4 linked regions of the Anolis sagrei genome follow. The protein of the gene in region 1 purifies or fractionates together with the protein of each later gene. This does not show direct contact. Links are inferred from orthologs where the notes say so. Each region holds a gene or a part of one and is shown in the gene's direction. Other genes may lie near its edges. The genes, in order: PLEKHM1, VPS39, VPS41 and VPS33A.

Region 1 (7,161 bases):
CTATTTGAGAGGGGAAAACTGTCAGAAACCATCTCTTGAGTATTCCTTGCCTAAGAAAACTCTTGAGAAATGGATGGGGTCGTGATTAAGACACAGGATCCATCTACACTGTGGAATTAATGCAGTTTGATACCACGTTTATTGCTATGGCTGTGGAATCATCGAAGTGGTGGGAAACCAGCATTCTCCAGCAGAGAAGGCTGAAGTCTTTGTAAAGCTACAATCCCCACAATTCCATAGCACTGAAATGCATGGCATGTGTTAATTTCACAGTGTAGATGTATTCTAGGCCCCTTTAACACTGCCATATAATCCAGATTATTTAATTGGATTATCCACATGATCTGCTTTGAACTGGATTATATGAGTATTTACTTATTTACTTACTTACAGTATTTCTATTCTGACCATCTCACCCTGCAGGAGACTCGGGGTGGATTACACTGTACATATACATGGCAAACATTCAATGTCATAGACCACAACATATATAGACAGACACATATATAGCACACAACATATATAGACAGAGGCTAATTAACTTTCCAGCTTTCGTGAGGGCATTCTGGCCACCAGAGGAGCTGTCACTTCACTGAGCATTTGTGACACTGATGGAGTACTTCCTCATTCTTTTGCTAGCTTGCTGGAGATTTTATGGCATCATAAATTACGGGTTTTTTGGGGGGGGGGGTTATCGTGTCAGGAGCGACCGCTCCTGTTGTGAGAGAATTGGCCGTCTGCAAAGACATTGCCCAGGGGATGCCTGGATGATTTGATGTTTTATCATCCTTGTGGGAGGTTTCTCGCATGAGGAGCTGGAGCTGATAGAGGGAGCTCATCCGCCTCTCCCCGGATTCGAACCTGCGACCTGTCAGTCTTCAGTCCTGTCGGCGCAGGGCTTTAACCCACTGCGCCACTGGGGGCTCCATCGTAAATTAGTTAAATAACCGGTACCTAAATTTCCTACTTAACAGATTTTTTTTTGTCGTATCAGGAGCAACTTGAGAAACTGCAAGTTGCTTCTAGTGTGAGAGAATTTGCCATCTGCAAGGATGTTACCCAGGGGACGGCCAGATGTTTTATCATCCTTGTGGGAGGCTTCTCTCATGTCCCCGCATGAGGAGCTGGAGCTGATAGAAGGAGCTCATCCATGCTCTCCCTGGATTCGAACTTGCGACAAGGGTTTAACCCACGGCGCCACAGGGGGCTCCAGATGCAACGTCTTTCGGGCTGCAAAGGTCGACAGCAAGCTACACAATAGTCGGAAGCTCACTCCAACCTGGGCTGGCTTTGAACTCATGACCTTTTGGTCAGTAGTGATCTTATCTGAATGCAGCAGCCGTGCAGCTGAGGGAGAAAAGGAAAGGGCCTGAGGCTGTGAGGATGCTTGCCATAGATGCAGGCGAAACGTCAGGAGAGAATGCTTCTAGATTGAACATGGCCATACAGCCCGAAAAACCTACAACAAACCAGGAAGGGGAATAGTTAAACATTCTGTTTGTTTTTTCCCGCTCTCATCCAATGAAATCACTGGATTTCTGTGTCTCTACCAATCGCTGCGGGAGTAGGCGGGCCCTAGAAAGACAGGCAGGCGAAGAAAACAAAATAGGGTGAGAGCGGAAGCAACAGAGCCGGAGGAAGACCCGACTGTCTGGAGTCTGTCCAATCACGTCGCTGTTCCCTTTGCCCCGCCCATTGCCTGTTTCAAGCACAGATTTAAGAACTAATAGAGAGATGCATCTCCATGCTCAGGAGACAAAATGGTTTAGTGTGTGAGATCAAGACCTGTTTCTGAGTTTAAAGTGAGGCCACTTTTACACTGCCACATAACCCAGATTATCAAAGCAGATATTCCACATGATCCGCTTGGAACTGTATTATATGAGTCCACACTGCCATATAATTCAATTCCAAGCAGATATTCTGGATTTTATATGGCAGTGTAGAAGGGGCCTCGGACATTGGATTATATTGTGATGTAGATGGGTATAATCCGGCTCAAAAACGATAATTTGGATTCAGAAACTAGATTATATGGCAGTATAGATCCCCTTGGAGTCACCATAAATCGGAGAAACTAAGTCTGTAAACTACACAGCTGTAAAAATACACATCTGCTTTGAACTGGATTATATGGCGATGATTATATGACTATTCTAAAGCCTTTGACTGTGTGGATCATAATAAATTGTGGCAAGTTCTTAGTGGTATGAGCATACCAAATCACCTTGTCTCTCTTCTGAGGAATCTGTACAAGGACCAAGAAGCAACAGTAAGAACTGACCATGGAACAACAGACTGGTTCAAGATTGGGAAAGGCGAGCGGCAGGGTTGTATACTCTCCCCCAACCTATTCATCTTGTATGCAGAACACATCATGCGATGTGCGGGGCTTGATGAATGCAAGGCTGGGATGAAAATTGCTGGAAGAAACATTAACAACCTCAGATATGCAGATGATACCACTTTGATGGCCGAAAGTGAGGAGAAGCTGAGGAGCCTTCAAATCAAGGTGAAAGAAGAAAGCGCAAAAGCTGGGTTGCAGTTCAACATAAAAAAAACTCCAAGATTAGGGCAACAAGAATGATTGACAACTGGGAAATAGAGGGAGAAAACATGGAGGCCGTGACAGACTTTGTATTTCTAGGTGCAAAGATTACTGCAGACGCAGACTGCAGCCAGGAAATCAGGAGACGCTTACTTCTTGGGAGGAAAGCAACGTCCAATCTCGATAAAATAGTGAAGAATAGAGACATCACACTGGCAATGAAGATCCTCATAGTTAAAGCAATGGTATTCCCCATAGAAACCTATGGATGTGAGAGCTGGACCTTAGGGAAGGCTGAGCAACGGAAAATAGATGCTTTTGAAATGTGGTGCTGGAGGAGAGTTCTGAGAGTGCCTTGGACCTCCAGAAGATCCAACTAGTCCATACTTCAAGAAATAAAGCCCAACTGCTCATTGGAGCGAAGGCTAGTAGAGGCCAAGATGAAATATTTTGGCCACATCATGAAGAGACAGGAAAGCTTAGAGAAGACAATGATGCTGGGGAAAATGGAAGGAAAAAGGAAGAGGGGCCAACCAAAGGCAAGATGGATGGATAGCATCCTTGAAGTGACTGGCTTGATTCAGATGGAGCTGGGGGTGGTGACAGCCGACAGGGAGCTCTGGTGTGGGCTCCGTTTACGAACCCGCACGCTCCCTTCGATCATCTGGAGAGGCCCTGCTCTCGATCCCACCTGCGTCGCAGGCGCGTTTGGTGGGGACGAGGGACAGGGCCTTCTCTGTGGTGGCCCCCTGACTCTGGAACTCTCTCCCCAAGGACATCAGACAAGCCCCAACGTTGGCTGTCTTTAGGAAGAGCCTGAAGACCTGGCTGTTCCAGTGTGCCTTTCCAGAATAGGAAACTCCTGGTTTCAAGCCCCAATTGCACTTTGCTAGAGACTCAGGATTATCTGCACATTGCAAGTACCTCCATATACCTCTACATATTACCTGTCAAGTTCAGCATTTTAATTTTTGTCCATTACATTTGGCCCGGCCTTTGGTTTTAATTGTGTCACGGGGTCATTGTTTTACTGTTTTATTGTTTTGCTTGATGTTTATTATTTGCTTTTGAGTTTATTGTGTATTGTATGTTGTTGATTGTTGGCGGCCTTGGCCTTTGTAAGCCGCATTGAGTCCTACGGGAGATTTTGCGTGGTATAGATAAAGTTAATAATAATAATAATAATAATAATAATAATAATAGATTTGATGCACAATTTTATGTTGCATGTTCCAGAGTAGGCAAACCAGACAATCTCCACATCAACACTGACAAAGACACAGCAAGAAATACTGTTTACCCACATGCATAAAGACATTACATATATTAGAAACCAACCCTTTCTAATTATTTTCCAGATTAGCAGGCTGGGCCACAGCAACGCGTGGCAGGGGACGGCTAGTAGTCAAGAAGACAGAAATAGATGTTTTTCTGAAACTCCCTGCCTTTCTCCATTATCTAGTAGATATTGGCAATTTGGTCTCTGGTTCCTCTGCCTTTTCTAAACCCAGCTTGTCCATCTGGCAACTCTCTCTCCATGTATTGCTGGAGTCTTCAGAGCTCTCTCTATAATTCCTGTCTCTGTGGTTCAGAGCGGGGCGGGTGACGTCAGAGGGCGCGCTCCCGCTCGGCGCTGCAGCTGTTTCGGGCTCACTCACTTCCGGGGTTTCCCCAGTCCTGCCTCGTCGGGGTCGCGCTGCGGAGCAGGTGAGTCCGAGCTTCCTCTCCCGAAGCTCCGCCCCTCGAGGGGGAGAAATTGGGCCAAGGAGAGTGGGGTCTTCCTAGGGAAGAGTCGAGGCCGGTTCTGTGGGGGGAGAGGCTGGCTGGAAGGGGGAAACAGGTTGGGAGAAGCCAGACAAAGGGGGAGGCCTGTTCAGGGGGTGGTGAAAGCAGAATACAGTAAAACCAATACAATCTGAAACCTAAAAGCTCAAGTGGTGTCCAACTGCATTGATTCTGCAGTCCATCAGTGATTCCCAAACTCTTCTCCTCAAATGGTTTTGGACTTCAACTCCCAGAAGCCTCAGCTGCCTTGGTCAATCATCAGGGATTCTGGGAGATGAAGTTCAAAACACCTGGAGGAGGAGAGTTTGGGAATCACTGATTGGACTGCAGAATGAACAAACCTATCACTCCTTTTTTGGTGATTTGAGAAGAAGAGCCCAAAGAGGGCTGTTTCTATAGGTTGTGATTGCCAGAGGACTCAAATTGCAGGAAAAAAACAGATTCCACCTATACATTAGGAAGAATTTCCTGACTATAATTTATAATGATTGTTGGTTTTACTGATGGGTCTATGGACTGTAATAAATTTTGTGTGGCTGTTGTTTGGTTGTGTAATTAGCTGCCATCATAGGGACCTTCTACACTGCCATATAAAATCCAGATGATCTGCTTTGATCTGGATTATGTGGCAGTGTGGACTCATACTTGCTTGCTTACTTACTTACTTAGGATAGTCTTCCAGGATCAGTATTCTTGTGGGCAGGGGCGGCTCAATCCATTACGCAAAGTATGCATTCGCAGTATAGTTGATTTTGCCCAGGGGTGCTCTTGAGGGGAAAATAGACCTTGACATATGCGAGTTGTAGTTACTGGGATGTATAGTTCACCTACAATCAAAGAGCATTCTGAACTCCACCAATGATGGAATTGAACCAAATATGGCACACAGAACTCCCATGATGAACAGAAAATATATATCAGTGATTGGTTGGGGGGGGGGGGGGCTAAATACTGTTTGCTTACCGTTGAAAATTACCTAGGGCCGCCTCTGCTTGTGGGTCCATAGGTGACTGTAGAGCCCTATTCTTGATCTGCTTCTTCTCCCACAATGAAGGCATTGGTTTCCAGGTGGAAGGTGGTCCCGGTCGGGGTTGGCTTGATGCGCCTTCCTCTCCAATAACAAGTCCCAGAAGCACTTTATTAGAATTAAGATTGTTACACACTGCACTTACCCTATAATCCTTACATATCACCTGTCACACCAGCACTTTTTAAAACTGGCTCGGCCCAGTTTTATTGTGTCTTGGTCTATTGTTTATTGCTTGTTGTTTAATACTGCTTTAATTGTTTTTAATTTGCTTAGGTTTTGTATTGTTATGTTGTGTTTTGATGCATTGTAAGCCGCATCGAGTCCTTCGGGGGATGCTAGCGGAGTACAAATAAAGTTAATAATAATAATAATTGGCACGTTTCTCTCTTTCGCCCTCCATTCGTGCCTCTTCAGATTCTACAGCACTGCTGGTCACACTGACCTCCAGCTGGAGCGCTCAAGGGCCAGGGCTTCCCAGTTCTCAGTGTCTATGCCAGAGTTTTTAAGGTTGGCTTTGAGCCCATCTTTAAATCTCTTTTCCTGTCCACCAACATTCCGTTTTCCATTCTTGAGTTCAGAGTAGAGCAACTGTTTTGGGAGATGGTGGTCGGGCATCCAGACAACGTGGCCGGTCCAGCGGAGTTGATGGCATAGGAGCATTACTTCAGTGCTGATGGTCTTTGCTTCTTCCAGCACACTGACGTTTGTCCGCCTGTCTTTCCAAGAGATTTGCAGGATTTTCCGGAGGCAGCACTGATGGAATCGTTCCAGGAGTTGTATGTGACGTCTGTAGACAGTCCATGTTTCACAGGCATATAGTAGGGTTGGGAGGACAATAGCTTTATAAACGAGCACCTTGGTGTCCCTACGGATGTCCCGGTCCTCGAACACTCTCTGCTTCATTTGGAAAAATGCTGCACTCGCAGAGCTCAGGCAGTGTTGTACTTCAGTGTCGATGCTGACTTTGGTGGAGAGGTGGCTGCCAAGGTAGCAGAAATGGTCAACATTTTCTAATGTTACACCATTAAGCTGTATCTCTGGAATTGAAGAGGGATTAGCCGGTGACTGCTGGAAGAGCACTTTGGTTTTCTCGATGTTCAGTGACAGACCGAACTTCTCGTATGCTTCTGCGAAGGTGTTTAGAGTGGCTTGTAGATCTTCTTCTGAATATGGACTCATATAATCCAGTTCAAAGCAGACAATATGGATGATCTGTTTTGATAATCAGGATTACATGGTAGCCACTCAGAGTCCCCTCAGGGAGATGGGATGGGGTGTAAATAAAGTTATTATAAACTGAAACACAACAAGATGAGTCCACAGCAGACAAGATCACTCTGCTGGCTGTTGTATTGGATCACACATCAGACACTTCCCAAGCGTCTAGGACTATGTGATGTATCGGCGAATAATGCATGCAGATCCCAGTAAGGTGGCCTTCTGAAGCTGACAAATGCTAATTTAGCTGTTCTGTGTCCCTCCACAGAGGTAGAGAAGAACAGGATATAAAAGTTCTAAGTAAATAAATAAATAAATAATTTTGTCAGCACCGATTGTGTTTAAGTGCAGGCCAAGGTCTTTAGGCACTGCACCCAGTGTGCCAATCACCAGTGGGACCACCTTAACTGGCTTGTGCCAGAGTCTTTGCAGTTCGATCTTTAAATCCTTATATCGTGTCAGCTTTTCCAGTTATTTTTCTTCAATCCTGCTGTCACCTGGGATTGAAACATCGATAATCCATACTTTGTTTTTTAACACGATCGTGAGGCCAGGGGTATTGTGCTCCAGAACTCTGTCT
Region 2 (7,605 bases), on another chromosome or scaffold:
TGTGTCTCAATTTTATTTCAGTTGTACTTAGTATGGTAATGGGTTTACCTGTAACAAATCACTTGATTATTTGATTCAATTTAAGTTGCAGATTTTTGTTCTGTATCGTAATAAAATCTTTGGCAGTGAATCTTTCCATCTCTTTAACATTTTCAATTGTAATTTGCGGTTTCACATATTCTGATGCTTATATCCATTTGGGATCACATTCTCCATTATAAACACTTGGTTTATAACTTGAAATGTGTAAGGAGCCCATGCTCAAGGTATATTTTTATTGGGACTTTTATTTATTAAATTTGTATCCTACCTTTTAAGAGCTCAGTTCAGAGCAGCTTCTCCAGTTTTGGCATCAATACTTCAATATGTTGTGCTGCATGGTACTATAAAAATGTGCATTTGCAAGTATTGGTCCATACAGAATCATAGAATTTGAAGGGCAGTATGGACCATGAAGTCCAATTCCCTGCTCAATACAGGATCTCCACCTGTATCCTCAACAGGGAGCTCTCCAACCTCTTTTTGGAGACATCCAGAAAAAAAAATAACTCACCACCTCAGTCTGATTTTTGTGTTCATGCTGCAGATAAAGAAATCTTACTTTGTAAATCAGTTTGCAAGGCTCCCATGATACTTATCATATATCTCAGGTGAGGTCAGTGTGATGGCTTGTTGCATCTTTATGGTAAAAAAAATCAGATGTATCCTCCCCCCAACATGCCTTCATAGGATAAATGAATCCCATCATCATTGGTTTTTGGGCAGTGACTTACTGTTATTGAAAACTTGGGATCTCAAGGAAGACCCCAAAACCCTTGGCCACAGAAAGGTCTTGATAGCCAATGAGACCTTTCACCCTAAACCTAATTTCAGCTAACTTCCACAGATGACTGTTAAGCTGGACATACAACTTTCATAAGTACTCACCGGAGGGATGTAGAAAAACTCCATCGTCCTTCAGGCAGTGGGCATAATCCCTCAACATTGCCTCCACACATTTATTTATTTATCTTAAACGTTTATATTCTGCCCTTCTCACCCCGAAGGGGACTCAGGGCAGAGCACAGCATATATGCGGCAAACATTTAATGCCAGGACACAAATTCTTATATACATACATAAACATTAAAAACATTTATCAAAATATTAAAATACACTATTTAAAACTGTTCTAGTCATCCACGTCAAATCTAATTGGCCTGGTAATCTTTCCTATTGCTGCTTTATTGCCCTGTCCCGAAAGCCTGGTCCCACAGCCAAGTTTTTACCATCCTTCTAAAGGACAGAAGAGAGGGGACTGACCTGATCTCACCAGGAAGGGAGTTCCATAGCCGGGGAGCAATCGCCGAGAAGGCCTTCTCTTGTCCACACCAATCGTGCCTGTGACAATGACGGGACGGCAAGCAGGGCCTCCCCGGAGGATCTTAATCTCCACAATGGTTCATAGTGGGAGATGTGTTCAGACAGGTAATTTGGGTAATTTCATCTAACAAAGAAGTTGCACAACCCCTTTCTTCATCCTCCTGGGAACCCATTTCAGGCTGGCTAACATCCATTGCTACCCATTGTTTCACCTGCATGGACCAGTGTCCTCACCAAGACACGGGAAACTACCATCATTAGCATCCATTACCTCAAACCTATCTACTTTTCTTTCCCTTCCCATACCCATGAGAGGAGGAACAAGCAACAGCCACAAAACTTCAAACTGAGCAACATCAATTTATTAAATTTCCCTCCTAACCTGGAGACCAATCAGCAACAATGACAGATAGCACACTCCAGCCAACCAGCCTTCAGATCCTAGCTAGCCATGATATGGACCAATTGACACTCAGGGCTGCAGAAGTCCTTCATTTCCAACTGCTGTCGAAGTGCTATAAATAGTTATCCATGTTTACATTGGGGTACGTCAGTCTTTGGAGTGCAGACTCTGCTGACATCCTCTTTCAGCCAAAAGAGAATAAAGCCGCCATTCTTTACCCTCATCCTGTACTTTATTTGGTCATTTGGGGAGCTTGACATGTCAGGTTTCTGAACCTGTGGTTCTTGCAGAGTTGAAATTGCTCAACTCTGGTGGAAAAATCTGTGGGTCCTAAGTTTCAGGGGCTCAAAATGGAATTTAAAAACTCACCTATTTTAAATTAAATCTTCAACCTGTGAACAAGGAGGGGGGGGGGGGTGCTTGAACACATTTAGCCTTGATCTAAAATAAATACATGCACATGTCTATAAGGATATATTCATTTCAATTAGCTAGACACAGGACTACTGGGATAGCCTATATTCCACGGATGAGCACATCCCTTTAGGATGTTCTGTGAAAATATTTTTTTAAAAAACTTTTTTTAAAGCCCGTGCCAGAATATGAAGCTCTTTCTGAAATTTAGTGTATCTCTGTTTTAAAAATGAAATCTGAATTTCTATTTCCAAATCTACTACATTATACCAAACATTCAGGCAATAGGAGTGAATGAAAGAAGGAAGACTTTTGTAGGTTCACAATGCTTAGGGCAGAGTTTCTCAAACTGTTCCTCCAGATGTTTGGACTTCAGCTCCCATAATTCCTAACAGCTTGTAACCTGACTGGGATTTCTAGAAAATGACGTCCAAAACACCTGCAGGAGCAGAATTTTTGAGAAACATTGGCTTAGGGACAGAGTTAATGTTCCATGTTGGATAGAAATGCCTGAGCATTTAATTCATGTGTGAAATACAGTTCTGATGGACATGTGACAGGCACCTGGGGAATGACTGAGGGGGTAGGATGAAATACCAGAGGGGAGTGTAGAAACGGATGAGTCATAATCATGAGAGATGTATGATTAGAGGTTGCATCATTCATTTGTCCCTTATTTATTTATTTATTTATCGTGTCAGGAGCAAACCAAAACCGTGGTATTGCATTAAAAAACAGACAAACAAAACACAAAATTTGCAGACCTGATATTCTATTAAATGTCCTTTGACCAGTAGCTGGCCACTTGGAGTGCCTCTGGTGTTGCTGCAAGAAGGTCCTCCATCGTGCATGTGGTAGGACTCAGGTTGCATTGCAGTGGGTGGTCTGTATTTTGCTTTTCTCCACACTCACATGTCGTGGATTTCACTTTGTAGCCCAATTTCTTAAGGTTGGCTCTGCATCTCGTGGTGCCAGGGCGTGTCTGTTCAGCGCCTTCCAAGGCGCCCTGTTTTTGGTGTGCCCAGGAGAGAGTCTTTCATTGATTGAGGTTCTGGGTTTGAGCCTGCCACTTCTGGACTCTCGCTTGCTGGGGTGTTCCAGTGAGTGTCTCTTTAGATCTTAGAAAACTATTTATTGCTTTAAGTCATTGCCGTGCTGGCTGACACCCAAACAAAGGATGGACTGCCTTGGGCCTTTCACTATTGGTTGCTATTTCCTGGTGGACATGAAAGAAGCCTCCTCGCAGGATTGTGGAGCATCTGGGCATCCCCTGGGCAATTTCTTCGTAGACGGCTGATTCTCTCACTCCAGAAGTGACTTGCAACATGCAACCAAACAAGCAAACCAACCAACGGACCTTTTCAGGACCCTTAGTGATGACAAGTCACCAGGTGGAAAGTGAAATGCTCACTCTTTCTCTCTGCGTGACATCTTTCTTCCCTCTTTGTATGCTCTCTTGCTGTGACTATCTTGCTGTGTATCTTGCTGTGTACATCCCTTTCTGAGTGAATCTCGTGTAAGTGAGGTCGAGCATGACCCCCCACACCAGGTCAAATTAACAGGAATAAATGACTGGAACTGGTCATCCTGCCCTGTTAATTTTATGTTTATGCCTTTTTTCTTGTATGTATTGATTATGTTACCTGGAAACCGCTCTGAGTCCCCTTGGGGGGATAGAGCGGTATATAAATAAAGTTTTGTTGTTGTTGTTGGCCACTGGAGAGCAGAAATCTGCATTGGAAACGGGGAACGCTCTGTGATTGGCTGGTGGATGTCATAGTCCTGCCTCAGAGAGGGAATCCTCCCAGCTGGTGTGATGTCAGAGATCAGCTCATGGGCCATGCAGTCCAAGAAGCAGGAAAATCGCATTCAAAGCACCCCCAACAGATGGCCATCCAGCCTTTGTGTAAAAGCCTCCAAAGCAGGAGCCTCCATCACACTCTGGGGCAGAGAGTTCCATTGCTGAATGGCTCTCACAGTCAGGAAGTTCTCCCTAATGTTCAGATGGAATCTCCTTTCTTGTAGTTTGAAGCCATTGTTCAATGTACTACTCTCCAGGGCAGGAGAAAACAAGCTTGCTCCTTCCTCCCTATGACTTCCTCTCACATATTTATACATGGCTATCATCGTGGAGTCTCAGCTTTCTCTTCTTCAGGCTAAACATGCCCAGCTCTTTAAGCCGCTCCTCATAGGGCTTGTTCTCCAGACCCTTGATTATTTTAGTCGTTTAAGCGGCTGAGGGGGAAAAGGAAAGGGACTGAGGCTGTTAGGAATTATGGGAGTTGAAGTCCAAAACACCTGGAGGTAGGGCCCAAGTTTGCCCATGCCTGCCTAAGGGATGATAAAGGAGTCGAAGGATGGCATCCACCTCCATCAGGAGGAGGAGCCTCTCCGCGGAAGTGAAGCGGGAGCCGGAAACGTCGCAGAGCCTAGGCCGGAGCTGGAAGGGAGGAAGGGAGGAAGGAAGGGCTCCCCATCGCTCTCCTTTCTGCTGCTGGAAGGGAGCCTCTTGGGGCCCCGGCCTTTGCCGCCATGCACGACGCCTTCGAGCCGGTGCCCATCCTGGAAAAGCTGCCCCTCCAGATCGACTGCCTGGCCGCCTGGGGTGAGTGGCGCCCATCCCAGGGCGCATCCACACTGCGGAGTTAGCGCAGTTTGGCCCCGCTTGAACTGCCCTGGCTCAAGGAGGTGGGGTGAGGGAGTTTGGGGCGGCAACAGCTGAAGACCTTCGCTGCCCATCATTCCATAGCATTTGAGCCCAGGCAGTTCAAGTGGTATGGAACTGCGTTAGTTTTTAGGAATGTGGCTGCACCCCTTTCGTGATGCTGTAGGTTGTTGTTGTTGTTGTTATCCCCCCTCTTTTTGTCTCTGAAAGGAGATCCAAATTAGCTATCCTTAAAAACAAAGAGAACACACCACTGAAAGCCTAAAATATGATTGTTATTGTTATTATTTTATTTCTTTCTACCTTCCTTTCTCTCTCTAAAAGGAGACCCAAAAGAGCTATCACTGAAAACAATAGAAGACACCATTGAAATTATTATACTTCTTACTCCTCTTTTATCTCTAAAAGGAGATCCCAAGCAGCTATCACTAAAAACAATAGAACACACATTGAGAAAGCCTAAACATATTGTTGTTGTTGTTAGTATAACTATATTGCTACCCCTATTTATCTCTTTAAAAAGAGACTCAAAGTAGCTATCACTAAAAACAATGAACATACATTGAAAGCCTAAACATATTGTTGATGTTATTAGTATAATTATATTTCTTTCTACCCCTATATATCTCTCTAAAAAGAAACCCAAAGCAGCTGTTACTGAAAACAATAGAAAACACAACTGAAAGGCTAAAAATGAAAGGAGATTCCATCTGAACATGAGGAAGAACTTCCTGACTGTGAGAGCCGTTCAGCAGTGGAACTCTCTGCCCCGGAGTGTGGTGGAGTCTCCTTCTTTGGAAGCTTTTAAACAGAGGCTGGATGGCCATCTGTCAGGGGTGCTTTGAATGCAATATTCCTGCTTCTTGGCAGGGGGTTGGACTGGATGGCCCATGAGGTCTCTTCCAACTCTGATTCTATGTCATTTTTGTTGATGATGTTGATGAGCTGCTGAACTTGCTGAGCGAAAGGTTGGCAGTTCGAATTTGGGGAGCGGGTGAGCTCCCACTGTTAGTCCTAGCTTCTGCCACATGCAAATGTGGGTAGATCAATAGGTACCGCTCCAATGGGAAGGTAACGGTGCTCCATGCAGTCATGCTGGCCACATTACCTAGGAGGTGTCAATGGACAACGTTGGCTCTTTGACTTAGACATGGAGATGAGCACCACTCCCCAGAGTCGGACACGACTAGACTTAATGTCAAGGGGGAAAAGGAGGCCGGAAGCAGCTATCAGTGAGAACAGTAGGACACACGATTGAAAGGCTAAAAATGTTGTTGTTGCTCTTTCTACCCCTCTTTCTCTCTCCAAAAGGAAATCCAAAGCCGCTATCACTAAAAACAATACAACACACATTGAAAGCCTAAACAAGTAAACATATGATTACACTTCTTTCTACCCCTTTTTATCTCTCTAAAAGGAGATCCAAAGCAGTTATCGCTAAAAACAATTGAACACACCATTGAAAGACTAAACTATTGCTGCTGCTGTTATATTTCTTTCTACCCCTCTTTATCTAAAAGGAGACCCAAAGCAGCTATCACTAAAAAAAATAGAAACACACTTTTTTTTGTCGTGTCAGGAGCGACTTGAGTAACTGCAAGTCGATTCTGGTGTGAGAGAATTGGCTGTCTGCAAGGACGTTGCCCAGGGGACGATTTGATGTTTTTATCATCCTTGTGGGAGGCTTCTCTCATGTCCCTGCATGAGGAGCTGGAGCTGATAGAGGGAGCTCATCCGCCTCTTCCCGGATTCTAACCTGCAATCTGTTGGTCTTCAGTCCTGCCGGCACAGGGGCTTAACCCACTGCGCCACCGAGGGCTCCTAGAAACACACATTGAAAGTCTAAACATCTTGCTATTGTTATTATATTTCTTACTCCCCTTTTATCTCAAAAAGGAGATCCAAAGCAGCTATCACTAAAAACAATAGAACACACATTGAAAGCCTAAACATATTGTTGTTGTTATTAGTATAACTATATTTCTTTCTACCCCTGTTTATCTCTCTAAAAAGAGACCTAAAGCAGCAACTACTAAAAACAATAGAACACACCATTGAAAGCTTAAAAAAACCCGCAAACACTAAAATAGGATTAAATATTGGAAGTAAAAAAAATAAACACGAAAAATATTAATATTGTATCTAAAATGCTTGGCTCCAGCAGTGTTTGAGGTTTTGGATTACCTGTATTAGCATATACACGTGATCTTAGAGATGGGACCCAAGTCTCAACCTGAAATCATATATATATCTTATACACATACTGTTAATAATTTTGTAAGCCATATTAACTATGAATTTTTATATTTCTATATTTAATTCTATTAATTTTATTATTTATTATTATTTATTTTATTTCGTGTACTTCTACCCTGGCCTTCTCAACCCCCGAGGGGGGACTCAGGGTGGCTTACAAACAGGCACAATTCGATGCCTACACAATAATACAAAAACGCATAAAAACAGCAGTTAAACAGTTATAACAATTAAAACAATCAATATATATCACAATCAATAACCAATCTCATGATCAGCGTTCGCCAACTCAGAGTCCATACTTCATTCCACATTGTCTATTCCTATCCGTCATCGTAGTCCTTTATTTAACTGCCAGATTGCCCAAACGCCTGGTCCCAAATCCATGTTTTTAATTTCCTTCTAAAGGAAAGGAGGGATGTCGCTGATCTAATTTCCCCGGGGAGTGAATTCCATAGGTGAGGGGCCACCACTGAGAAGGCCCTGCTCCTCGTCCCCGCCAATC
Region 3 (8,003 bases), about 20 Mb from region 1:
AACACAAAATGTTTGGAAAGCTCTGCCCTAAAAGTTGGACTTCTGCAATGCACTGTACATTGGGTTACATTGTGTTACCTGCCACCCCAAGGCTGTGGAATGACCTGCCAGAATAGCTCAAATGGCTAAATGAGTTGCAATTTAAAACTCAGTTGAGAATCCATCTCGTCCAGCAGGCCTACTCAGTCAACTTTCAATCATGAGTTTTGATTTACTTTCTATTGCTACGATATATCAAATCTGTATCTGTGTTTGGTGCATGTTTTCTTTTAATGGTTTTTTATCTATGTGATTAATTGTTCATGTTTTTGTACCCTGTCTCCAATTATCAGGAAAGGCAGATAATGAATAAAATTTGTTATTACTATTGTTGTTATTATGTTATTAAAGGCACCAGATTCTGTCTGATCTTTGACAAGTAAGCAGGGCCAGCCTTGGTTGGTACTTGGATGGAGAGCATCAGTGAATACCAAGGTCTATACTATGCAGGGTGTCCATAAAGTCTCTTTACTATTTAAATTTCTTATTTGATACATAACAAGATTAGTACACAGAAAAAAGATCACTATGCTGGCTTTTGTATTTGATCACACGTCGGACACTTCCCAAGTGTCTAGGACTGTGTGATGTATCGTAAAATAATATGTGCAGATCCAAGTAGGGTGGTCTTTTGCAGCTGACAGATGGTAATTTTGTCAGCCCCAATTGTGTTTAAGTGCAGGCCAAGGTCTTTAGGCACTGCACCTAGTGTACTGATCACCACTGGGATCACCTTTACTGGCTTATGCCAGTTTCTGCAGTTCAATCTTTAAATCCTCATACTATGGAAGCTTTTCGAGTTGCTTCTTGTCAATCCTGCTGTCACCTGGAATTGCAACATCGAGGATCTATATTTGTCCCCCCCCCCCCCCAATGATTGTGAGGTCAGGAGTATTGTACTCAAATTATTGTAATTATTGTTGTTGTTATTGTTTTTAAAGTCACCAGATTCTGTTATTATTCATGCTGTAGTTTTTAGTCATCAGATCCTGTGTTATTATTATTATTGTCGTTTTTAAAGTCACGAGATCTGTTATAGAACTCCAATATGCTGATGACAATGTTGTCTGTGCGCATTCAGAAGACCTACAAGCCACTCTAAACACCTTTGCAAAAGCATACAAGAAGCTCGGCCTATCATTGAACGTTGAGAAAACCAAAGTACTTTTCCAGCAGTCACCAGCCAATCCCTCTCCAATGCCAGAAATATAGCTTAATGGTGTAACATTAGAAAATGTTGACCATTTCCTCTACCTTAGCAGCCACCTCTCCACAAAACTCAACATTGACACTGAAATACAACACTGCCTGAGCTCTGCGAGTGCAGCTTTTTTCTGAATGAAGCAGAGTGTTTGAGTACCGGGACACCTGTAGGGATACCAAGGTGCTTGTCTATAAAGGTATTGTCCTCCCAACCCTGCTGTATGCCTACGAAATGTGGACTGTCTAGAGACGTCACACACAACTCCTGGAACGGTTCCATCAGTGCTGTCTCTGGAAAATCCTGCAATCTCTTGGGAAGACAAGCAGACAAATGTCGGCGTGCTGGAAGAAGCAAAAACCACCAGCATTAAAGCCATGGCCCTCCGTCATCAACTCTGCTGGACCGACCACGTTGTCTGGATGCCCGACTACCGTCTCCCAAAACAGTTGCTCTACTCCGAACTCAAGAACGGAAAACGGGATGTTGGCGGGCAGGAAAAGAGATTTAAAGATGGGCTCAAAGCCAACCTTAAAATCTCTGGCATAGACACTGAGAAGTGGGAAGCCCTGACCATTGAGTGCTCCAGCTGGAGGTCAGCTGTGACCAGCAGTACTGTAGAATTTGAAGAGGCACGAATGGAGGGCGAAAGAGAGAACCGTACCAAGAGGAAGGCGCATCAAGCCAACCCCGACCAGGACCACCTTCCACCTGGAAACCAATGCCCTCACTGTGGGAGAAGATGGAGATCAAGAATAGGGATCCACACTCACCTACGGACCCACCAGAATACTGCCCCTGGAAGACTATTCTGTTCAGACAATGAGTAAGTAAGTACGTAAAGTATTAGTTTTTAAAGTCACCAGATTGTTGTTATTATTATTGTTATTATGTTTTTAATTTCAGCAGTTGGAAGCTAAGGGCTGTTCTATACAGGGTGTCCTTAAAGTCTCTTTATCATTTAAATAGTAATTACTGCTCAAGCAGGGAGCTTTGAGATGGTAGAACAGAAGATTTCCAGAGCTCTAGGTGCTCTTACTGCCTATTAGAGGGAAAACCAACTGATCCCCAACCCATCTAAAACACAGACATGTGCCTTTCACCTCAAGAACAGACAAGCATCCCGAGCTCTGAAGATCACCTGGGAAGGAATCCCACTGGAGCATTGCAGCGCACCCAAATACCTGGGGGCAGGCCCGTAGCCAGGATTTCGATTTGGGGGGGGGGGGCTGAGTTTGTTTTGGGGGGGGGGCGAGTCCGAGTGAAAGAGGGTCTACCCTAGCAAACCTTTTGTATCGTTACCCCAATACCCCCATGCATATGGGATATATTGAGTAGGGTGATCAGATCATGATATGAATAAACATAACAGTTTAAATAATGCACCAGTAAGGCCTTTTCGCAAACCACCATGAGAATTTCAGGGGGGGGGCTGAAGCCCCCCAAGCCCCCCCCCCCCCCCTCGGCTACAGGCCTGCCTGGAGTCACTCTAGACCGTGCTCTTACCTACAAGAAGCACTGCCTGAACATCAAGCAAAAAGTGGATGCTAGAAACAATATCATACGAAAGCTGACTGGCACAACCTGGGGATCACAACCAGATACAGCGAAGACATCTGCCCTTGCGCTGTGCTACTCTGCTGCTGAGTATGCATGCCCAGTGTGGAACACATCTCACCACACTAAAACAGTGGATGTGGCTCTTAATGAGACATGCCGCGTTATCACGGGGTGTCTGCGCCCTACACCACTGGAGAAATTACACTACTTAGCCCAGTGGTTCTCAACCTTCTTAATGTCACGACCCCTTAATACAGTTCCTCATGTTGTGGGGACCCCCAAGCAAAAAAAATATTGTTATTGCTACTTCATATCTGCAACTTTGCTACTGTTATTATGTAAATATCTGATATGCAGGATGTATTTTCATCACTGGACCAAATTTGAATAGTGGTGGGGTTGGGGGGATTAATTTTGTTATTTGGGAGTTATAGTTGCTGGGAATTATAGTTCACCTACAAACAAAGAGCATGCTTTACTCCACCAACGATGGAATTGAACCAAACTTGGCACACAGTTCTCCCATAGCCAACAGAAAATACTGGAAGGGTTTGGTGGACATTGACCTTGAGTTTAGGAGTTGTAGTTCACCTACATCCAGAGAGCACTGTGGACTCAAACAATGATAGATCTGGACCTAACTTGGCATGAATACTCAATATGCCCAAATGTGAACACTGGTGGAGTTTGGTGAAAATAGACTTTGCCATTTGGGAGTTGTAGTTGCTGGGATTTATAGTTTACCTACAAACAAAGAGCATGCTTTACTCCACCAACGATGGAATTGAACCAAACTTGGCACACAGTTCTCCCATAGCCAACAGAAAATACTGGAAGGATTTGGTGGACAATGACCTTGAGTTTAGGAGTTGTAGTTCACCTACATCCAGAGAGCACTGTGGACTCAAACAATGATAGATCTGGACCAAACTTGGCATGAATACTCAATATGCCCAAATGTGAACACTGGTGGAGTTTGGTGAAAATAGACTTTGCCATTTGGGAGTTGTAGTTGCTGGGATTTATAGTTTACCTACAATCAAAGAGCATTCTGAACCCCACCAATGATAGAATTGGGCCAACTTGCCACACCCCTATGACCAACATAAAATACTGTGTTTTCTGATTGTCTTTGACGACCCCTCTGACACCCCTCTCATGACCCCCTCAGGGATCAGAGAATTATGAACTGCACCAATGATAGAATTGGGTGAAACTTCCCACACAGAACCCCCATGACCAACAGAAAATGTTGTGTTTTCTGATGGTCTTTGGCGACCCCTCCAAAAACCCTTCGCGACCCCTGCAGGGGTCCCAACCCCCAGGTTGAGAACCACTGGCTTAGCCGGTATTGCACCACCTGACATCCGCCGGGAAGTAGCAACCAATAGTGAAAGGACCAAGGCAGAGACATCTCCAGCTCATCCCTTGTTTGGGTATCAGCCAGCACATCAATGACTTAAATCAAGAAATAGTTTTCTAAGATCTACAGAGACACTCGCTGGAACACCTCAGCAAGCGAGAGTCCAAAAGTGGCAGGCTCAAACCCAGAATCTCAACCAAATGAGAGACTCCCCCCTGGGCACACAGAGGACTGGGTGACTTGGAAGGCGCTGAACAGACTGTGCTCTGGCACCACGAGATGAAGAGCCAACCCCAAGAAATGGGGCCACAAAGTGGAATCCTAGACATGTGAGTGTGGAGAAGAGGAAACCACTGACCACCTGAGCCCTGCCACATGCACAATGGAGGACCTTCTTGCAGCAACGCCAGAAGCACTCCAAGTGGCCAGATACTGGTCAAAGGACATTTAATCAACTACCAAACTCACAAATTTTGTATTTTGTCTGTTTGCTTTGTTCTGTTAGAAATGTAATATAATTTGACTGGTTGTCCTGACACGACAAATAAAAAATTGAAATAGTAGAACCTGGAAAAACAAAAAAGAGGGAGGAACTGGCAAAAGTATCTCTGAGTATTTCTTGCCTATGAAAACCCTCTGAAACTCAAGGGGGATTTCCTAGGCAAGAGCTGAAGGGACACAAGCCCACTGAGAGTGGCGAGACAGAAGAGCCTGAGCTGCTACTTGCAAGGCGCCTTTCTTCCCGCTCAAATTAAGCCCCGCCCCCCTCCGCGCGTCTACTTCCGCTCCCTTGTGTGGAGGGCAGGCAGCCTGCGGGGCGGAGGAACTACATTACCCGGCACGCTTTGCGGCCGCTTCCTGCCTGACTACCTCACATGACAGCCAGTCTCAGCATGGCGGAAGCAGAGGAGAAGGTAAAGGCTCGGAAGAGTGGTAGAAACTCTGGGTGTTTGTGAGATTAGCGCGTGGCAAACTGAAGAGACGAGGAGAGAGAAAGGAGGCAAATGAGGCAGGGAAAGGGCTAGGGGAGACAAGGAATAGTTTGGGGGTAATTTCAAAAAAGGTGGTTGAATGGCTGGGAAGCGTCGCTCAAGGCCTTCCCAAGAGGACAGGCCTTTGCAGGTGTATATTGGGACCTCCATGAGGCGAACACAGAATGGGACAGGGCAGGCCCCTTGCGTAGAACATGACTACTGAGGCACCACACTCGCCACCTCATCCCATTCAGAGGGGAAAGCATGGGGGACCGTCCCTTTGGAGGTCTGCCTTCCCAACAGACTCACACTGGAAACTTAAGAGCTGGCAATACATTCCTCTTCCATTCACCACAAGATCAAGGTTGCCTTTTTTAAATCGAGAAAAACAACAACACCCAAAATCCAGGAGATCCCTGGCCCTGCCCAAAGCCCCTTACATTAAAGGAGACTGACACCAGTTTAAAACCACTGCTTTCCATGGGATCCTATTGTTTGTTTATTTATTTACGACATTTATTTATTTGTCGTGTCAGAGCAGCCAGTCTATTATATTACATTTCTAACAGAACAAAGCAAACAAACAGAAAAATACACAACTTGTAAGTTTGGTAGCTGGTTAAATGTCCTTTGACCAGTATCTGGCCACTTGGAGTGCTTCCGGTGTTGCTGCAAAAAGGTCCTCCATTGTGCATGTGGCAGGGCTCAGGTTGCATTGCAGCAGGTGGTCAGTGGTTTGCTCTTCTCCACACTCGCATGTCGAGGATTCCACTCTGTAGCCCCATTTCTGAAGGTTGGCTCTGCATCTCGTGGTGCCAGAGCGCAGTCTGTTCAATGCCTTCCAAGTCACCCAGTCTTCTGTGTGCCCAGGGGGGAGTCTCTCATCTGGTATCACTCATGGATTGAGGTGCTGGGTTCGGGCCTGCCACTTTTGGACTCTCGCTTGCTGGGGTGTTCCAGCGAGTGTCTCTGTAGATCTAAGAAAACTATGTCTTGATTTAAGTTGTTGACGTGCTGGCTGATACCCAAACAGGGGATGAGCTGGAGATGTCTCTGCCTTGGTCCTTTCACTATTGGCTGCTACTTCCCGGCGGATGTCAGGTGGTGCAATACCAGCTAAGCAGTGTAATTTCTCCAGTGGTGTGGGGCGCAGACACCCTGTGATAATACGGCATGTCTCATTATGAGCCACATCTACTGTTTTAGTGTGGTGAGATGTGTTCCACACTGGGCCTGCATGCTCAGCAGCAGAGTAGCATAGCGCAAGGGCAGATGTCTTCACTGTGTTTGGTTGTGATCCCCAGGTTGTGCCAGTCAGCTTTCGTATGATGTTGTTTATAGCGCCCACTTTTTGCTTGATGTTCAGGCAGTGCTTCTTGTAGGTCAGAGCACAGTCCAAAGTGACTCCCAGGTATTTGGGTGTATTGCAATGCTCCAGTGGGATTCCTTCCCAGGTAATCCTCAGAGCTTGGGATGCTTGTCTGTTCTTAAGGTGAAAGGCACATATCTGTGTTTTAGATGGATTAGGGATCAGTTGGTTTTCCCTGTAATAGGCAGTAAGAGCACCTAGAGCTTCAGAGAGCTTCTGTTCCACCATCTCAAAGCTCCCTGCTTGAGCGGTAATGGCATGATCATCAGCATAGATGAAACTCTCTGTCCCTTCTGGCAGTGGCTGGTCATTTGTGTAGATGTTGAACATGGATGGCGCAAGCACGCTCCCCTGAGGCAGGCCGTTCTTCTGTTTCCGCCATCTGCTTCTCTGGCCCTGGAACTCAACAAAAAAGCTCCTGTTTTGTAGCAGGTTTCCTATGGTGGTTGAATGGCTGGGAAGCGTCGCCCAAGGCCTTCCCAAGAGGACAGGCCTCTGCAGGTGTATATTGGGACCTCCATGAGGTGAACACAGAATGGGACAGGACAGGCCCCTTGCGTAGAACATGACTACTGAGGCACCACAGTCGCCACCTCATCCCATTCAGAGGGGAAAGCATGGGTGACCATCCCTTTGGAGGTCTGCCTTCCCAACAGGCTCACACTGGAAACTTAAGAGCTGGCAATACATTCCTCTTCCATTCACCACAAGGTCAGGGTTGCCTTTTTTAAATCAAGAAAAACAACAACACCCAAAATCCAGGAGATCCCCGGCCCTGCCCAAAGCCCCTTACATTAAAGGAGACTGACACCAGTTTAAAACCACTGATTCCATGGAATCCTATTGTTTATTTATTTATTTACGACATTTATATGCCACCCTTCTCACCCCGAAGGAGACTCAAAGCAGTTTTCTCTCACTTTCTCTATTTATTTATAATATTTCTCCTTCTCAGTGACTGAGATTTTTTTTAAAATGTGAATTGTGTCCTGGGGATGATGGAAAACAAAAAGAAGTGAAAGTGCCTGTATGGTAATACCTTTATATGAATACCTGGCACAAACACATTTTAATAGTGAGTGTAGTTCTGGTTTGCTATATCCCAAGAAGCATATTGTAGCTCTGGAAAAAAAGAGCATCAACGAATACCAACAAATACGTGTTTATAAAACTTTTTTTAAATGGCCTGAATTGTTGCCCTGTTTTTGTAGCGGGTGTAAGTTCAGGAAGGGCCTTTTCATAGAATCATAGAATCAAAGAGTTGGAAGAGACCTCATGGGCCATCCAGTCCAACCCCCTGCCAAGAAGCAGGAATATTGCATTGAAATCGCCCCTGACAGATGGCCATCCAGCCCCTGTTTAAAAGCTTCCAAAGAAGGAGCCTCCACCACACTCCTTCCTCATGTTCAGATGGAATCTCCTCTCTTGTAGTTTGAAGCCATTGTTCCGTGTCCTAGTGTCCAAGGAAGCAGAAAACAAGCTTGCTCCCTCCTCCCT
Region 4 (8,013 bases), on another chromosome or scaffold:
GACATTAAAAACAATAAAAAGGGCTTCTATTCTTATGTCAGTAGAAAAAGGAAAAACAAGGAGGCGATAGGACCTCTTCGAGGAGAAGATGGGGCAATGCTGACAGGGGACAGGGAAAAGGCAGAACTACTTAATGCCTTCTTTGCCTCGGTCTTCTCACAAAAAGAGAGTCTTCAACCTCAGCAAGATGGAGTGGATGAGGGATTGGAGGACATCCAACCCCAAATTGGGAAAGAAGTCGTCCAGGAATACCTGGCCGCTCTTAATGAGTTCAAGTCCCCAGGGCCAGACCAACTACACCCAAGAGTACTGAAGGAACTAGCGGAAGTCATTTCGGAACCATTGGCAACCATCTTTGAGAGTTCTTGGAGAACGGGAGAAGTTCCAGCAGATTGGAGGAGGGCCAATGTGGTCCCAATCTTCAAGAAGGGAAAAAAGGATGACCCAAACAACTACCGTCCGGTCAGCCTCACGTCGATACCGGGCAAGATTCTGGAAAAGATTGTTAAGGAAGCGGTCTGCAAACACTTAGAAACTAATAGTCAACATGGATTTATCAAAAACAAGTCATGCCAGACTAATCTGATCTCTTTCTTCGATAGAGCTACAAGCTGGGTAGATGCGGGGAATGCCGTGGATGTAGCGTACCTGGATTTCAGTAAGGCCTTCGACAAGGTCCCCCATGACCTACTGGCAAGGAAACTAGTCCAATGTGGGCTAGGCAAAACTACGGTGAGGTGGATCTGTAATTGGTTAAGTGGACGAACACAGAGAGTGCTCACTAATGCTTCCTCTTCATCTTGGAAAGAAGTGACGAGCGGAGTGCCGCAGGGTTCCGTCCTGGGCCTGGTCCTGTTCAACATCTTTATTAATGACTTAGATGAAGGGCTAGAAGGCATGATCATCAAGTTTGCAGACGACACCAAATTGGGAGGGATAGCCAATAGTCCAGAGGACAGGAGCAGAATTCAAAACGATCTTGACAGATTAGAGAGATGGGCCAAAACTAACAAAATGAAGTTCAACAGTGACAAATGCAAGATACTCCACTTTGGCAGAAAAAATGAAATGCAAAGATACAGAATGGGGGACGCCTGGCTCGAGAGCAGTACGTGTGAAAAAGATCTTGGAGTCCTCGTGGACAACAAGTTAAACATGAGCCAACAATGTGATGTGGCAGCAAAAAAAGCCAATGGGATTTTGGCCTGCATCAATAGGAGCATAGTGTCTAGATCTAAGGAAGTAATGCTACCCCTCTATTCTGCTTTGGTTAGACCACATCTGGAATACTGTGTCCAATTCTGGGCACCACAATTCAAGAGAGATATTGACAAGCTGGAATGTGTCCAGAGGAGGGCGACTAAAATGATCAAGGGTCTGGAGAACAAGCCCTATGAGGAGCGGCTTAGGGAACTGGGCATGTTTAGCCTGAAGAAGAGAAGGCTGAGAGGAGATATGATAGCCATGTATAAATATGTGAGAGGAAGCCACAGGGAGGAGGGAGCAAGCTTGTTTTCTGCTTCCTTGGAGACTAGGACGCGGAACAATGGCTTCAAACTACAAGAGAGGAGATTCCATCTGAACATGAGGAAGAACTTCCTGACTGTGAGAACCGTTCAGCAGTGGAACTCTCTGCCCCGGAGTGTGGTGGAGGCTCCTTCTTTGGAAGCTTTTAAGCAGAGGCTGGATGGCCATTTGTCAGGGGTGATTTGAATGCAATATTCCTGCTTCTTGGCAGGGGGTTGGACTGGATGGCCCATGAGGTCTCTTCCAACTCTTTGATTCTATGATTCTATGGGGTCGTACTCCCCCTGAAGACGCAGGTTCGCAGCTTGGGTGTGACCCTGGACTCATCGCTGAGCCTGGAACCCCAGGTTTCGGCGGTGACCAGGGGAGCATTTGCACAGCTAAAGCTTGTGTGCCAGCTGCACCTGTACCTTGGGAAGTCTGACTTGGCCACGGTAGTCCACGCTCTGGTTACAACCTGTTTAGACTACTGCAACGCTCTCTACGTGGGGTTGCCTTTGAAGACAGCTCGGAAGCTCCAACTAGTCCAACGCTCGGCAGCCATGATTTTAACAGGAGTGGAGCGCAGGGAGCATACAACCCCCCTGCTGCGCCAACTCTACTGGCTACCGGGCTGAATTCAAAGTGCTGGCGTTGGCCTTTAAAGCCCTAAACGTTTCCGGCCCAAGCTACCTATCCGACCGCATCTCTGCCTATGAACCCACCAGGACTTTGAGATCTTCCGGGGAGGCCCTGCTCTCGATCCCGCCTGCTTCTCAAGCACGGCTGGCGGGGATGAGAGATAGGGCCTTCTCGGTGGTGGCTCCTTGGCTGTGGAACGCCCTTCCTACGGACATTAGACTAGCACCATCTCTAATGGTATTCCACAAAAAAGTGAAGACCTGGCCGTTTGAGCAGGCGTTCGAATAATTAGTGTAATGATTGGTTAATGAACACTGGAATGGAACAATGGATGACGAATCTGGAACATGTTTTTGATGATGAGACGACAGTGAATGGGTATTGTAGTAATTGTTTATTAATTGTGTAGTGTGTTAGGTTGTTAACTGTTTTTATACTGTAGCACTGAATTTTTGCTGTTCGTATTTGTTGTGAACTGCTGTGAGTCGCCTTCGGGCTGAGAACAGCGGTATATAAGTAAGGTAAATAAATAAATAATAAATAAATTATCTGTCAGAATGTGTCTCCCCCTATGAACCGGTTAGAGCATTCAGGTCACCTGCTCTTGATTCCATCCCTCTTGTAGGCGCAATTGGTGGGGATGATAGGGCCTTCTCAGTGGGTGCCCCTTGGCAGTGGAGCTCCCTCCCCAGCGAGATTAGACTGTCCCTATCTCTCCTCACATTCAAGAAAAAGCTGAAGACCTATCTGTGGCACCACGCATTTGGGGAATAATGCAATACGGAATGCAGCAGTAACTATGACTACGGGTCTAAGCACTATGCTTGTAATCTTTTAATATTTCAAAATCTTTGAATTGTATTTATATATTATCTGTTTGTATTACTCCATGTGTTTATTTGTTTATTTATATTGGTAATGCGGCATCAAATCTTGCCAAACTTGAGTCCCCTTTGTGATGAGTCCCCACAGGGAGGAGGGAGCAAGCTTGTTTTCTGCTTCCTTGGAGACTAGGACGCGGAACAATGGCTTCAAACTACAAAAGAGGAGATTCCATCTGAACATGAGGAAGAACTTCCTGACTGTGAGAGCCGTTCAGCAGTGGAACTCTCTGCCCCGGAGTGTGGTGGAGGCTCCTTCTTTGGAAGCTTTTAAGCAGAGGCTGGATGTCCATCTGTCAGGGGTGATTTGAATGCAATATTCCTGCTTCTTGGCAGGGGGTTGGACTGGATGGCCCATGAGGTCTCTTCCAACTCTTTGATTCTATGATTCTATGATTCTATGAGATGCGCAGGGTAGAAATCTAGGAAATAAATACATAAATAAATTCAAAGCAAAAATGTGAGCTTTTATTCAGCTGTGTGAAAGGGGCCACAGTCACCTATGGACACACCGCCAAGACCCAATGCTTGGAAGGCCATCTTACTCGGACACAAGGGTTTGCCAGTGATGATGATGTTTGCCCTCAGAACTGCCTCTGCAGCTACTGAGGCATGGAGCCCCTGGTAGCGCAATGGGTTAAACCCTCGTGCCTGCAGGACTGAAGACTGACATGTCGACATGAGGCCAAGCCCAAAATAATACAACATAGTTAAACACAGTAACAAAAATACATCATAACAAAATATTAAATAACAAATAAAATCAACAATATAAAATAGCATGATAAAATCAGACACAGAGGGCAGGCCAAATGTATGAGGTAAAATATTAAAAAGTTAAAACCCTGGGCAAGATAGGGATAAAAGTGCATTTGTAAGAGAGGAGTCCGACAGGGAGAAGTAGTGGGATTTGGCCTTTGTAGGGGACAGGGGAAGGTGCTATATTCTGAGGGCAGTTACAGGTTAAAACGACCAGATGGGTTGAGTGGTCACTCTCCAAAGGCACATCGCAAAAACCAGGTTTTTAAATCTTTCTTAAAAGTAGCTAGGGTGGGGGCTTGCCTGATCTCCCTAGGTAGCGTGTTCCAAAAGCAGGGGGGCCACAGCGGAGAAGGCCCTCTTCCTCATTCCCACAAGTCGAGCATGTGATAGGGGAAGAGGTGAGAGAAGGGCCTCTTCAGAGGATCGAAGAGATCGTGCAGGGTTGTGGTAGGAGATGTGGTCACAAAGGTAGGTGGGTCCCAAACCATTCAGGGCTTTGTAGGTAATAACCTGCACCTTGAATTGGGACCGGAAGATAAATGGCAGCCAATGGCACTTCTTAAACAGGAGGGTTGACCGCTCCCTGTAATTCGCCCCAGTTAGAAGTCTGGCTGCCAAGCACTGGACCAATTGAAGTTTCCGGGCTGTCTTCAAGGGAAGCCCCACGTAGAGTGCATTGCAACAATCCAATCTAGAGGTAACTAAGGCGTGGACCACCGTGGTCTGGTCTGGCTTCGTGAGATATTGTCGCAGCTGGGGAGAGCAGGTTGAGCTCCCTCCGTCAGCTCCAGCTTTCTATGCGGGGACATGAGAAAAGCCTCCCACAAGAATGGTAAAACACCAAAACATCCAGGCGTCCCCTGGGCAACATCCTTGCAGACGGCCAATTCTCTCACACCAGAAGCAACTTGCAGTTTTTCAAGTCGCTCCTGACACCAAAATAAAGCCACTGAGACAAGCTGAAGCAGAAGGAGGGAAGGAGGAACTGGGCCATTTGAGCCCCAACTAGGAAAGTGGGAGGGCTGGGGACTAATGGGCAATCAGGACCACTGGGGGGGGGGGGGGCTGTGGAAGCGAAGGCCTCAAGGTCCGCGTGAGGGACAAAAGAGGCGGGGGAGGAGAGGCAGTCACGTGCCCCGCCTCAGCGCCCCGTTCTGGCGCGTGAGGCAGGGCCCTGCCCCCTCGTCGTCACGTGACCCACTTGCTGTGTGTGTGTGTGTGTGAGAGAGAGAGAGAGAGAGAGAGCGAGAGAGCGCCAGTCATGGCGGCGCACTTGAGTGCGGGGCGCGTCAACTTCATGGCGCTGCGGGAGGCCGGGCGGAAGGAGCTGCGCGAGTTCCTCGACAAATGCGCGGGCTCCAAGGTGAGCGCGGGGCCCCTTTCCCCTCCAGAGACGACCTCCTCCCTCAAGGCCTCTCCCCGCCCTCCTGCCCCGTCTTGGGGCCGAGGAAGGCCTCCTCTGCTGGCCTGCCTCCGTGTACGTCCACACACGACGCTTATCCCGACCTCACAGGCACATAGGCCCACATCTGCGATGACTATTCGTTCATCTCATTTCTTACTCGCCCCTTGTGTCTAAGCAATATGGCCTCTGGGGGTCTCTTCTTAGGCCCCTTCTACAGAGCTGTATGAAATCCCACATTATCTGCTTTGAACTGGGTTTTATTTATTTATATTTATTATATATCCTGCTGGTGGCGCAGCAGGTTAAACTACTGAGCTGCTGAATTTGCTGACCAAAAGGTTGGCGGTTCGAATCCGGGGAGTGCGGTGGGCTCCCGCTGTCAGCCCCAGCTTCTGCCAACCTAGCAGTTTGAAAACATGCAAATATGAGTAGATCAATAGGTACCTTTTCTGCGTGAAGGTAACAGCGCTCCATGCAGTCATGCTGGCTACATGACCTTGGAGTTGCCTATGGACAGTGCAGACTCTGGCTTAGAAGTAGAGATGAGCACCACCCCTTAGAGTTGGACAGGACAAGACTTCATGTCAAGGGGAAACCTTTACCTTTTTAATATCCCTCCTTATCTCTCCACATGAAGACTCCAAGCGGCTCGTAATCAAAAACATTACAACTTCAAATACGCCAATATACAGTAATGCAGTATGTCATTATATATTATATATTTTCAGTAACAACAACAAAACTTTATTACGGTCACTATTTATTTATTTATTTATTTATTGTGTCAGTATCAACCAGACAATTGTATTACATTTTAACAAACAGACAAAACAGAGTTTGCAGGCTTGGTAGGTGATGAAATGTCCTTTGACCAGTATCTGGCCACTTGGAGTGCCTCTGGTGTTGCCGCAAGAAGGTCCTCCATTGTTCATGTGGCAGGGCTCAGGTTGCATTGCGGCAGGTGGCCTGTGGTTTGCTCTTCTCCGCACTCGCATGTCATGGATTCCACTTTGTAGCCCCATTTCTTAAGATTGGCTCTGCATCTCACGGTGCCAGAGCGCAGTCTGTTCAGCGCCTTCCAAGTCTCCCAGTTTTCTGTGTGCCCAGGGGGGGGGGGGTCTCTCATTTGGTATCAGCCATTGATTGAGGTTCTGGGTTTGAGCCTGCCACTTTTGGACTCTCGCTTGCTGAGGTGTTCCAGCGAGTGTCTCTGTAGATCTTAGAAAACTATTTCTTGATTTAAGTCGTTGACGTGCTGGCTGATACCCAAACGGGATGAGCTGGAGATGTCACTGCCTTGGTCCTTTCACTATTGGCTGCCACTTCCCGGCGGATGTCAGGTGGTGCAATACTGGCTAAACAGTGTAATTTCTCCAGTGGTGTAGGGCGCAGACACCTCGTGATAATGCGGCATGTCTCATTAAGAGCCACATCCACTGTTTTAGTGTGGTGAGATGTGTTCCACCCTGGGCACGCATAGTCAGCAGCAGAGTAGCACAGCGCAAGGGCAGATGTCTTCACTGTATCTGGTTGTGATCCCCAGGTTGTGCCAGTCAGCTTTCATATGATATTGTTTCTAGCGCCCACTTTTTGCTTGATATTCAGGCAGTGCTTCTTGTAGGTCAGAGCATAGTCCAGAGTGACTCCCAGGTATTTGGGTGTGCTGCAATGCTCCAGTGGGATTCCTTCGCAGGTAATCCTCAGAGCTCGGGATGCTTGTCTGTTCTTAAGGTGAAAAGCACATGTCTGTGTTTTATATGGATTAGGGATCAGCTGGTTTTCCCTGTAATAGGTGGTAAGAGCACCTAGAGCTTTGGAGAGGTTCTGTTCTACCATCCCAAAGCTCCCTGTTTGAGCAGTGATGGCACGATCATCAGCATAGATGAAGCTCTCTGTCCCTTCTGGCAGCGGCTGGTCATTTGTGTAAATGTTGAACATGGATGGAGCAAGCACGCTCCCCTGAGGCAGGCCATTCTTCTGTTTCCGCCATCTGCTTCTCTGGCCCTGGAACTCAACAAAAAAAGCTCCTGTTTTGTAGCAGGTTTCCTATGAGGTGGGTGAGGTGGTAGTCCTTTGTGATATTATACATTTTTCTCAGGAGGAGGCGGTGGTTCACAGTATCATAAGCTGCTGACAGGTCTATGAAGACAGCTCCTGTGATCTGCTGCCTTTCAAAGCCATCTTCTATGTGCTGAGTCAGGTTTAGCACTTGTGATGTGCAGCTTTTGCCTTTCCTGAAGCCAGCTTGCTGTGGGATCAGACATGGGTCTATTTTTTCCATAATTCTATGCAAAATAAGTCTCTCCAGAACTTTGTAGAGGTGGCACAACAGGGAGATTGGTCTATAGCTTTTTGGGTTATTACGGTCTTTGCCTGGCTTCAAGATGGCGATGACTCTTGCTTTCCTCCAGATTTTGGGGATCTGACAGGATGCAGTGCAGTTGTTCATCAGCTCCAGCAGCCAGCACCTTGCTTTTGGACCAATGTTCTTGATTTGTTCCATCCGTAGATCATCCAGGCCAGCTGCTTTGCCATTTTTACATTTATTGAGAGCCATGTCCAATTCAGTAGATGTAAAAGAGTTCATGAAGGTTGTTCTCAATCTCTGGCTATTGGTTTATTTCCTACTTTGGTGGCAAGGTTGGGTTTCCCATTCTTCAAGAGTTGGTGTGCTATCTGATCTGCCTTTATGTTGGCATGGGTATTAGTTTGTGAGGGGTCATTGCTCAGCCATCTTTGCAGCCTCCACGCCATGAGAGAAGCCTCCTCGCAGGATTGCAAGACATCCGGGCGTCCCCTGGGCAACATCTTCGTAGA

What was found.
Region 2: the proteins of PLEKHM1 (region 1) and VPS39 purify together in Homo sapiens (co-immunoprecipitation; 3 studies listed by BioGRID and IntAct, with this or other methods). This does not show direct contact. The link is inferred for Anolis sagrei from reciprocal best matches to the Homo sapiens genes PLEKHM1 and VPS39.
Region 3: the proteins of PLEKHM1 (region 1) and VPS41 purify together in Homo sapiens (affinity purification with western blotting; 4 studies listed by BioGRID and IntAct, with this or other methods). This does not show direct contact. The link is inferred for Anolis sagrei from reciprocal best matches to the Homo sapiens genes PLEKHM1 and VPS41.
Region 4: the proteins of PLEKHM1 (region 1) and VPS33A purify together in Homo sapiens (affinity purification with western blotting; 3 studies listed by BioGRID and IntAct, with this or other methods). This does not show direct contact. The link is inferred for Anolis sagrei from reciprocal best matches to the Homo sapiens genes PLEKHM1 and VPS33A.

Annotation. Positions count from the first base shown.
Region 1 is NC_090026.1:48,785,882-48,793,042, forward strand, and holds the start of PLEKHM1 (pleckstrin homology domain-containing family M member 1), read left to right. Parts: upstream 1-4,154; 5' UTR 4,155-4,255; intron 4,256-7,161. UniProt on the Homo sapiens protein: Acts as a multivalent adapter protein that regulates Rab7-dependent and HOPS complex-dependent fusion events in the endolysosomal system and couples autophagic and the endocytic trafficking pathways.
Region 2 is NC_090021.1:287,124,741-287,132,345, forward strand, and holds the start of VPS39 (vam6/Vps39-like protein), read left to right. Parts: upstream 1-4,595; 5' UTR 4,596-4,711; coding exon 4,712-4,784; intron 4,785-7,605. UniProt on the Homo sapiens protein: Regulator of TGF-beta/activin signaling, inhibiting SMAD3- and activating SMAD2-dependent transcription.
Region 3 is NC_090026.1:69,255,571-69,263,573, forward strand, and holds the start of VPS41 (vacuolar protein sorting-associated protein 41 homolog), read left to right. Parts: upstream 1-4,991; 5' UTR 4,992-5,038; coding exon 5,039-5,077; intron 5,078-8,003. UniProt on the Homo sapiens protein: Plays a role in vesicle-mediated protein trafficking to lysosomal compartments including the endocytic membrane transport and autophagic pathways. Acts as a component of the HOPS endosomal tethering complex.
Region 4 is NC_090034.1:31,895,655-31,903,667, forward strand, and holds the start of VPS33A (vacuolar protein sorting-associated protein 33A), read left to right. Parts: upstream 1-5,005; 5' UTR 5,006-5,052; coding exon 5,053-5,154; intron 5,155-8,013.